3 linked regions of the Danio rerio genome follow. The protein of the gene in region 1 binds, or shares a complex with, the protein of each later gene. Links are inferred from orthologs where the notes say so. Each region holds a gene or a part of one and is shown in the gene's direction. Other genes may lie near its edges.

What was found.
Region 2: rnf113a (region 1) and ppil2 share a complex: the UniProt entries of both Homo sapiens proteins name them as parts of the minor spliceosome. The link is inferred for Danio rerio from reciprocal best matches to the Homo sapiens genes RNF113A and PPIL2.
Region 3: rnf113a (region 1) and crnkl1 share a complex: the UniProt entries of both Homo sapiens proteins name them as parts of the minor spliceosome. The link is inferred for Danio rerio from reciprocal best matches to the Homo sapiens genes RNF113A and CRNKL1.

Annotation. Positions count from the first base shown.
Region 1 is NC_133178.1:30,713,018-30,716,617, reverse strand, and holds the start of rnf113a (E3 ubiquitin-protein ligase RNF113A), read left to right. Parts: upstream 1-1,171; 5' UTR 1,172-1,173; coding exon 1,174-1,279; intron 1,280-1,423; coding exon 1,424-1,500; intron 1,501-1,584; coding exon 1,585-1,683; intron 1,684-1,878; coding exon 1,879-1,986; intron 1,987-2,821; coding exon 2,822-2,931; intron 2,932-3,600. UniProt on the Homo sapiens protein: Required for pre-mRNA splicing as component of the spliceosome. As a component of the minor spliceosome, involved in the splicing of U12-type introns in pre-mRNAs. E3 ubiquitin-protein ligase that catalyzes the transfer of ubiquitin onto target proteins.
Region 2 is NC_133180.1:13,602,844-13,606,583, forward strand, and holds part of ppil2 (RING-type E3 ubiquitin-protein ligase PPIL2), read left to right. Parts: intron 1-887; coding exon 888-939; intron 940-1,053; coding exon 1,054-1,145; intron 1,146-3,740. UniProt on the Homo sapiens protein: Has a ubiquitin-protein ligase activity acting as an E3 ubiquitin protein ligase or as an ubiquitin-ubiquitin ligase promoting elongation of ubiquitin chains on substrates.
Region 3 is NC_133195.1:52,274,660-52,278,499, forward strand, and holds the start of crnkl1 (crooked neck-like protein 1), read left to right. Parts: upstream 1-1,715; 5' UTR 1,716-1,766; coding exon 1,767-1,814; exon of another isoform or gene 1,815-2,270; coding exon 2,271-2,423; exon of another isoform or gene 2,424-3,127; intron 3,128-3,357; exon of another isoform or gene 3,358-3,389; intron 3,390-3,840. UniProt on the Homo sapiens protein: Involved in pre-mRNA splicing process. As a component of the minor spliceosome, involved in the splicing of U12-type introns in pre-mRNAs.

The DNA of each region.
Region 1 (3,600 bases):
GAGAGAAAAAACACAAACGATAAAAAAAATAATCAACAATTAGGAGCACCTCATGCAAGTTAAGCAGTTACTGTGTGAAAATGGTAAATAAGACGTTATTTAAGATAAGGTGGATTTAAATAAGCAGACAAAATCATGCTAACAGATTCAAACTGAAAATTCAGCGTCTTCACATAGATCTGGATCAGTAAACAAACACCCCTTAAACGAGTCTCGTGAAGTTAGCTGCTAGCAGTCTTAGCTTTCTCGGTTAGCTTCGTGCAAACAAACACTTTTATTCTCCACATAATGATTAAACAAACTACAACTTCAGCATCAGATCACGTTAGTGTAGCATCAACAAAAAGAGACGCATCTAATAACTAATATCAGTGCACTCTTTAATACACAAAAATAAAGCAAAGCTCAGTCGTGGTTACGGTCAGCTCTGCTAATTCACCAACTCTCTCATGATGATCATATCCGAGATCGCCTACATTTCCACGGACGGCCTCCTGCAGTCAATTACCTCAGTTTTTCATTCGGCTCCAACGAAATCTCCGATTTTCGGGCCAAAATCCTCTTGCGTGTTTCTGTGGAAGACCTTCGTGCATGAATTTCTTTAATTCACTCGGTATTTTTGTGTGTATTTCGGTCCACACAATACCCAACGTGTGTTCTCACCCAGTTGAACGAGTCGTTCCTTTCTTAAAATGGCGCGAGGCCGTAAACCGCTGCGGTGTTTCACGACACATTTACGTCTAGTGGTACATTCACGATAGGGGCGTGGCCAGTGTGGAATTTGTACTGTAAAATATTATTTATTGTTATACAGTGTCACAAAACTTATGCTATGTTGATGTACGTATCCACAGTATCCTAACTAGACTTTACCTTTATAATGGGAAAAAATTCACTCTAAATCATAATTTTACTTTAAGTACACCATAAAATACCTTAAAACGTCTTTATCCTTAATTTTGCTCAATGCATGCATCCAAATATTGTCTGAATATTGCTAGTTACTGATTAATAATAATAGTAAAGATATGTACATTATCAATTGTTAAATGGGAATATATTCATATCAAATACAACAGCAGTAAACCATTCCCATTCTACGTTTCTTCCCAAACACAAGAGGCGCTGTAACCAAAAAATGACTTCATCGTTTGTTTTTATACGTAGTTAAAGATGGCGGAGTCCGAGGAGCCGAAAAAACCCACCTGCACATTTATTTTTAAGAAATCAAACAAGAAATTTTCCGCACGGAAAAGAAATGCAAGTGACAGCGACAAAGGTACGTTGTGCTTCTTTCTTCAGTGTCTCAATCGACAGCGAGTTTGACTTGAGAAACTATAATCCCTACAACAAGCCGTCTGTTTAATTAATGTTTATGCTCAATACATGTCTGCAGTTCAGTGTTTTGTTTCTTTATCATCAGAAAAAAGCAGCGGCGATGAGGGCAGTGCAGTGGTCAGAAAGAAGAAATCTGCCGCTGTGAACCCCATGATTCAGAAAGTATGTCCGTATTTCATGTGTTTTATGTAACTAGCCGCTGTTAAACTGATGTCATCATTATTATATTTATTATTCGTTTTATAGACGAAGAAAGTGGAGAGGGAAGCTGTCTCATCGAGTGAAAGTGAAGAAGAGAAGGAAGAAAAGAGCGTGACTGTCGCTTACAAGTCCACTCGCTCAGCGGTGAGTCTGACTGACCCAACATTTGTACAGCTTCATGATTTATGCTACAGCAAATTATGAATATAAACGCTTGATGGTGCCTAATAATTCATGACCACGTATGACTTTACATTTCTATTAACGTCTGACAGTTTTTGCGCTGTCTCATTGAAACATTAAAGGCTGTAATTGAGTGTATTTGACTATGTGTTGCAGAAACCAGAGGGGCCGGATGACATGGGGGCCACTGCTGTCTATGAGCTGGACACAGAGAGGGACAAAGATGCTCAGGCCATCTTTGAGCGCAGTCAGAAAATCCAAGAGGTATGCGGGTGATTGGAAATAACTGGCTGCATCATTGTAAAGTCAGGTTTATGTATGTTATGTACAGATTCAAAGTACCTTTACAGTTCTAGATTTAGATAACATTAAACTCAGCATTTTCAATTGTATTTACACATATTTCAAGTAGACAACAGCTCTACAGAAGGTGATATAGTAGCGTGTCATGTCATGTCAGTTCAGTTATTTAGATACCTCACTCAGTGCTTTCAAGCACAGCAGAATCAATTCATTTTAGAAAATAAATAGCCTTTATAATAGGCCTGGGCGATTTGGCCTCAAATCTAAATCTTGATTAACTAAACATTTTAACCCGATTACAACTAATGATTGATTATTTCATTTGTTTTTGCCCTCATAGTTAACTGACAGGTTTCGTAAAGTGAGAGATGTTTGAAAAGGGTGCATTACTTGATTTTAAAATAATTGAAGGAAACGCAAACTATCTACTATCTATGATTATTTATTGAACATCAGCGTTGAACAACTGAAATGAAAACACACATTGCCTAAAACCAACAGTCTTCTTTTTTTCGTTGCTCTCCGCGCTGCCCACTCTTGTCATCACTATCAAGCTGACCAACCGCAGAGCTTGCGCTACGTATCGTCAAGTAGTGACATTTTTTGAGAGGTGCGCGTCAGCCACGGCGAGGAGTATGCGATTGCTCAAAGTCTGCGCTCAATGCAGAAGAATAAACCAGCATCTAAGGAGCGGGGTCATTTCATGTCATGATATTTGATTGTTGATATTGTTAAGATGGCCAGAATATACACAATCTCTTAATCATATGGCTGCGTGTTTGTGTGTAATTTATAGGAGCTGACTGGTAAAGAAGATGATAAGATTTATCGTGGGATCAACAACTATCACAAATTCATTAAACCCAAAGATTCCACTATGGGCAATGCCTCCTCTGGCATGGTCAGGTGAGTCAGTGTTGTTACGAGTTTTTCTTTCTCTTGTTTCCTCTCCCTCTTTCCTGCACTCTCTCGGTCTGAATTATTTCCAGGTGCAGCGGATTACGGCAGATTGTGATTGGTGCTTGGATTGGCGGCTGTATTTAAGAGGCCTTTGTTTATCTTCTGAACACAAATGAAAATGTTTTAGATTAAATCTGACATCTCTCTCATCCTCCATGGACAGTGAGATTTCAAAGATGTTCAAAAGTCCAGAAACCAAAAACATTGCATGGGACTTTAGTGTTCTGATGTGTAATCATGTAGAGCTCCCAAAACACTTGTAAAAAACTGTAAATACATGAAAGAATACTTTATTTTTTGTATACATGACAGGTCAGGGTGCGCGTTTACTAGGCATGGGCCGGTATAAGATTCTGACGGTATGATAACCTTGGATAAAAATATCAGAGTTTCACAGTATTGTGATTACTGCTCAAAAATATTCTTTTAAAATGTCTGGGTAAAAAAAAAACTATTATTGTTCCCATTGAACACAATATATTTTATTTTAAGAAGCATATTTTGGAACAGTAAACATGACAGGCTAAAGAATTTATTGAAGACAGCAGAAGTCAATAGTTTCGAAAACACATATTTCTTTAAAAAAAAATGAAAAAGACATTCATCTTTCTCTTC
Region 2 (3,740 bases), on another chromosome or scaffold:
GTTATGGAATTCCCTGCCTTTGCACATTCGCCAGATGGACTCTATTTCCAATTTTAAATCTCAGATAAAGACGTTTTTGTTTAGGATAGCTTTTAATGATTTGCTGGTTTAATTATGCTGATTGTCATTTTTACTGCTTGCATTTTTATGATGTGCTTGTAATCTGCTGTAAGGTGTCCTTGAGTGCTTTGAAAGGCGCCTAAAAATAAAAGGTATTATTATTATTATTATTATTACAGGTCATTTAACTCCCACACTGAAAAAATGATTTTAATTTAACAAACAAAAATAAATCACCAATGTTCGACTTAATTTAATTGGGCTACATTTAAACAAACAAAATGTATACAACTACTTGCCTTAAAAAAACTTTAGTAAATTTAAGGAATCATCTATGAATAATTTTTTTCAGGGCATTTGTGATGAATTTAATGTATTATTTCTGATCAATAAAACTACTTACCACAAAGGTTTGACATATAGTGTACATTACCATCACATATCAATACATACATAATTACAAGCTGAATAACTAGCCAGACAACTCTTAACATCACTTTTGCCAAGTTTCTTTTCTTTTTAAGCTGACGTTTCCTTGTGGTTCTTTTATCTATGTGCAATTAGACACATGAATGACCTTTTTCAGATTTCTCTCAAACTATACTAGATTCCCATGACTAAGTGGTGTTTAAAATGAGTGCCAGTCTGTTTATGTATTGTCTTATCATCGCCCAAGCACGTCCCGAATGAATCAGTCAATTTATTCTAAGTAATTAAACACAATTAAACTTTTCCTGGGTGTGATTAAAGTATAATTGAAAATGTAGGTGTGTCTGAGAGCCAGTTTCACAGATATAGTCACTAACTCTCTCTCTTTCTGTTTTTAGAAGCTGGAGGCTAAATCCCTTATCAAGCTTAACTTCAGCAAAAACAATGAAGGTAAATATGTTTGTGTGTGCGCTCTTGATCCTCTTACCTGGCCTGCGTCAACAGCAATGTGTGTTAATGATGAGAGATAATGGTTAAAGTCCTCTTTTTTCCCCTGTACTTTAGGAAAGTACCACTGTCCTGTGCTCTACACCGTCTTCACAAACAACTCCCACATCGTTGCTAACAAAGTCACAGGGAATGTTTTCTCTAATGAGGTAAAACAGCTACATTTTATTTGTTGTATCATATTTTTATGCAGCAGAATGCATATAATTTTTACACATGGAGTTTTTTTTTTGTTGTTTTTTTTTGTTCAGCAGTCAAGAATTATTATTATTAGTATTAATATTAATAATTAATATTATATATATATATTTTTTTTACTTTTTACCCATTACTCTGCATTTACCCATTACCCATTGCTCTGGACTAGTTTCGACAAAAATTAAAAATCACAAATGCAATAAAATAAAAATATATAATGCATATATTTTGAAAAAAAGGTTTTTATTGCATTTTTTATAGAAGTTCAACAGCATCCTCAAAATGAAAACAGTAAATTATTGCAATAGCAAAATTAATTATAGAAATATTTATCATTATTCAAATTGCTTTTTACATTTCAGCTATTATGTTTATTTTTTTATGATGTCTAAAACATCTAGTGTTTTTTCTACTTTCATATAACAAAAATATAAATTTGAAAAGGAAAATACAGTGATCAGTGATTGTTTACATTCAAAACAGGGCCATAAAATTAGTCAATTTGACTCTCGCACTATACATATGAATCCCTTATACCTATCTATCACACTATCTATCAAAAGTCTTGTCCATTCCAGTTGTAAGAGCAATAAATAATAACTTGACTTCTAGTTGATCATTTGGAAGAAAGTAGATTTTTCAGATGAATCATCTGTTGAACTGTATCCCAATCATCACAAATGCTACAGAGGACATTACCAGCATTAGGTATCAAGACATTTGTGCTGCCTGTTAAATTACAAACCACAGGAGAGGGTAAATCCTTCAGCAAGACAGCACTCCATCTCAGGTTCTTGAAAGCAAAGAAGGTCAAGGTGCTTGTTACGATCCTTGATGGCAATTTGTCTAGGGCAGGCGTGTCCAAACTACGGCCCGCGGGCCATCTGCGGCCCTCAATCAGTTTTGTGGCGGCCCGCGAGGCTTTTTATAAACATCAATAGAATCTGGCCCGCTATACAGAAATGAACGTAATTCAATAAATAACCACCGGGTGTCGCTATTACATGCATTCAATTAAGCAGCCCTTCTTGTTATGATCTATCTATCTATCTATCTATCTATCTATCTATCTATCTATCTATCTATCTATCTATCTATCTATCTATCTGTCTGTCTGTCTGTCTGTCTGTCTGTCTGTCTGTCTGTCTGTCTGTCTGTCTGTCTGTCTGTCTGTCTGTCTGTCTGTCTGTCTGTCTGTCTGTCTGTCTGTCTGTCTGTCTACACACAGTTGAAGTCTGAATTATTAGCCCCTCTTTATTTCTTCTTTTTAAATATTTCCCAAATGATGTTTAACAGAGCAAGGACATTTTTACAGTATGTCTGATAATATTTTTTCTTTTGGAGAAAGACTTTTGTTTTATTTCGGCTAAAATAAAAAGCGGTTTAAATTTTTTTATGAACCATTTTAAGGTCAAAATTATTAGCCCCTTAAGTCTTCAGAACAAACCATTGTTATAAAAATAACTTGCCTAATTACCTTAACTTGACTAGTTAACTTGATTAACCTAGTGAAGCCTTTAAATGTCACTTTAAGCTGTATAGAAGTGTCTTAAAAATATCTAGTTAAATATTATTTAAATATTATTATTTATATAAAATAAATCAGTTATTAGAAATGAGTTACTAAAACTAATATGTTTAGAAATGTGTGGAAAAAAATCTTCTCTCCGTTAAACAGAAATTGGGGAAAAAAATAAACGGGGGCTAATAATTTAGGGGGGCTAACAATTCTGACTTCAACTGTATTTTATATATATATATATATATATATATATATATATATATATATATATATATATATATATATATATATATATATATATATATATACACACACACACATATACACGTGTCTGTGTGATGTATGTAAAATTTGGCCCACGACAACGTTTGTTTTTTTGCATCTGGCCCTCGGCCCAAAAAGTTTGGACACCCCTGGTCTAGGGTATTAAAAGGAGTAACATAAAGATGACCAAAGTATAAACTGATGTTGAAGAATGGCAAGAGAAAACACCAAACAACAAATTAGCACCGCAAAAGATTTATCGCTCCCACATTATTTACAAACAATAAGATAAAGTTGAAAAGAACCAAGACAAATAGGAGAGGGAACTGAAGTTTGCGCATGGAAATCAAAGAAATAAATATAACAAAAACATTCCCTTAATCTCCTCCCCAATCCACTAAATAGAAAACAACAATATGAAAAGAAAAGTCTTCAGCGCAAAGCGCCCTGAACTTACTCTAACTAATAAATAAAAATACAAAATTAGCGCACTTCGCTAACTAGTGTGTCTATACATTAATAATCATGCGTGCAAAAATGTATGTCACGTGACTTACTATGTTGTTCCAGATCTCCCTTGTCAAGTCACAGAAGGTTTTTGAATGTAGCAATAGCGGGCTAGAGATGTAGAAAACACTCGTCAAAACTCAAACAAATCTCACTCAAAGTCATCAGTTAATCTCACTCAAAGTCAACATCAATAAATCTCAATCAAAGTACACATCAGTAGCAGCGACAACGCACACGGACACCACCAAAC
Region 3 (3,840 bases), on another chromosome or scaffold:
AATATGATATTTTAGTCACTAAACATATTTAGAAATAGAAAGATAATACAATAAAATCAAGCTAAATTTAGCTAAAGTAAATTACAACCTATAAAATTTCAACAAAATTTTCCTTTTTTGTTTTTGCTTCTCTTGATTTTTCCTCTTTTGAAAAAAAAAATTGTATTTAATATTTTCCTATAAAATTTTTTGGCTTTTCTAGTTTTTGGGCCGTTATTGTAAGTTGTTTTGTTTGATAAGCTCCAGATTTGGCTTCAGTACTGACTAATGTATTTGCACAAATATAATACTGCAGCTTCCTATTAAAAACATGAATATAAAATAAAGATTTTTGAGGAGTGTATGGTACAATACTTATTACAAATTACCATGTATTTTGTATTATGTTGCTACTTTTGTTAAAATTATTCACATTTAACAGATTATATAAGTGGTATGTAAACATTCGAGCACAACTGTAGACGTAATATACAGTTGAAGTCAGTTGAATTATTAGCCCCCTTGTTTATTTTTTCCCTAATTTCTGTTTAACGGAGAGCAGATTTCTTTTCAACACATTTCTAAACATAATAGTTTTTGCTAACTCATTTCTAATAACTGATTTATTTAATTAATCATGATGACAGGTAAATAATATTTTATTAGATAATTTTCAAGATACTACTATACAGCTTAAAGTGACATTTAAAGACTTAATTAGGTTAATTAGGTTAACTAGGCAGGTCAGGGTAATTAGGCAAGTTATTGTGTAATGATCTGTAGACAAAAATATAGCTTCATGGGGCTAATAATATTGACCTTAAATTTTATTTTATTTTTTTATTTATTTTATAAAAACTGCTTTTATTCTAGCCAAAATAAAACAAATAAGACTTTTTCCAGAAGACAAAATATTATCAGACATAATGTGAAAATTTCCTTGCTCTGTTAAACATCATTTGGGAAATATTTAAAAAAGAAAAAAAATCAAAGGGGGCTAATAATTCTGACTTCAATTGTACGTTATATGTTTTTCGTCTGTGTGCACGCACAGACTTATTTTGGTAAACAAATAAATAACAACTCTTTACGGTTATTTCATACACAATAACAAGCAATACATAATTAACAAATTAATAAAAATGGACATTCACTTACATTAAAGATAGGTCGGACTATAAAAAAATCTAACAGTGAGCGAATAAAGTTAAATAACATAACGTTACATGTAACTTTACTTTGAGCCTCGTCACTAACCTTTATAAAAACAAATAAACATTCACACACATTGAAGAAAATTCGGTTTAACAATAAACAGATCTAACAGTAAACAAATAAATAACAAACGTTTAAGGTATTTAATTGAGGTAAGTTAACGTTATTAATGTAAAATGTTGAGTTTTGAACTCAGTCACTAGCCAATAATAGGCAAAAATATTTTAAAACAACAAGCATTCACTTACATTGACAAAAAGTCGATACACAAGCAACATAAAACAATTAAACAGGTATTTTTGGTGTATAACAATAAAAAACTGAGTTTTAACAGCCTCAAACTGCTGACCTTTTATTTATTGATAACGTTAACCGCTAGCAAGCGTCCTGTCACCATGGTGAGATGCTCCGTGACGTAGATGCAGGCAAAGGTCACAGCGCGTCACGGCAGGCGCGACACACACGGCACTGAAACGTCGCTAACCTTACAGGTTTTAGCGGGCTTTCGAAATCTAAAACACAAGAACATACGTCTAATTTATTTTTAATAAAGTGTCAGGAGCGTAATAATCATGGCGTCCACCGCGGCGGGCAAACAGAGAATCCCGAAAGTGGCGAAGGTAAAACCTATATGATGTTTTTGTGAGTTAGCATTAGCATGTAAACAACGTGAAGTCGTGCTGACGTTACTTAATAATTAACTACTGTATATAAATGTGGTTAGTGGAGTTAAGCTTATTTTTTTATAATGTATTTGTGTTTGTGTTCAGGTGAAGAATAAACCCCTGTAAGTTAGCATTAGCATGTAAACAACATGTAGTTCTGCTAACGTTACTTTATAATTAGTTAACTGATGTATAATGTGTATACATGTAATCAGTTGAGTTAAAGGTTGTCTTGCTTTGTAATGGTTTTGTATTAATGCTCATGTGAAGAATAAAGCTGTGAGTTAGCATTAGCTTGTAAACAACGTGAACTTGTGCCACTCTGAAAATAACAACTGTATAATGTATAGAACTATAACCAGATGGGTTAAAGATTGTCTTGTTTTGTAATGGTTTTGTGTTTGTGTTCAGGTGAAGAATAAAGCCCCTGCAGAGGTGCAGATCACCGCCGAGCAGCTGCTCAGAGAGGCCAAAGAGAGAGAGCTCGAGCTGCTGCCACCGCCACCCAAACAGAAGATCACCGATAAAGAAGAGCTCAATGACTACAAACTGAAAAAGAGAAAGGTATGAAATGTTGTATCACCATGTAGTATACCATGGTGTCACTATATGCATATGTCATAAAGTAGTACTAAATTACTGTGCATGTACTGAAAGCTTGGTTCTGTCATGGCATATGCCTCAAAAATATACAGTAGTGTCACAATTGCTTATAGAATGTGCGCAGTGCTATCATGATGTTCAGAAAATATGGTATTGATATGGTGTGTAGATTATAAAAGATGATATCGCTATGGTTTAAATGTATTATTTTATTATGGTAAACCTCTAGAAAACATGGGCATTATCACAGTGCATATTCAGAAAACTCAGAGGATATGCAATGTCTTGTTGGGTTTATAGTTGACCAGAAGACAGTTTATATATGTATATAAAGTGGAAGTCTGCCTGTGTTTTATGGACTGCCGCTGTATGAACATTTCAAGAACGTATAAAGCATCCAGGTGTAACGCTTCTCTTCCTGAAGACGCAAATCACTCAGGCGGACACAGAGAACTGCGTTCTGCGTTGTTTATTCTGTAACAGAAATATACATCCTCTGGCAACAGTATGCATTTAAACATGCATCGCCTTTCTGCATTCAGCAACCATTTTCTGCTGTGTTGCCACAAAGTCATTTTAACAAAACATTATTTATTTACAAAAGGTTAACATACCTGTAACAGAAATATACATCATCTGGCAACAGTATGCATTTAAACATGCATCTAAAAAAACCAAACAAATAGTAAGAAATCACCCTTGCACATATTAATGTCATCATTCCAGCTACACCTAGCATGAGCAAATTAAACCACACAAAGTTTGTCACACACGGCAATCACTCGACAGATTTGATCTAAAACATCACTTAATGTTCATATTGGGCTTGTATGTGTTATTAATATGTGTTAAAATACAAAATTTGTCACATTTAGCTGGAGCACATTTTACCTACCGCCTTTCTGCATTCTGCAACCATTTTCTGCTGTAGGCGGGGTTTTGCAGGTGAAAGGTGAAAGAAACAATTACACACTGTTGCCACAAGAGGTCTCTCAACAGCCACAAAATAAACAAAATAACCCATTTTGGTGAAAGACAATTAAACATTATTTTAACCCTGTTACACAGGCACAAGAAATTAGACCATTTGTACCTTTAATAAAGATACATTTTTAAAATAATTTTTACAATAAAGAAGATGCAGTGTTTTATTTACATTTGATTTTTTTGCAATTCCTGTACCTGTTTGCTGTTTGACAAATTCATAAAGTAACAATACTTGTAATTTTTTGTTATTTTTTTATGCATGATTCAATCCTTTATTGCAATCAGTCTGAATTAATAAACACTTCCCAAATAGAGTTAAGGCATCTGATGGACCTATATTCATTTTGCATTATTTATCACAGAAAAACAAAATATGTCAATGTTTGATTTA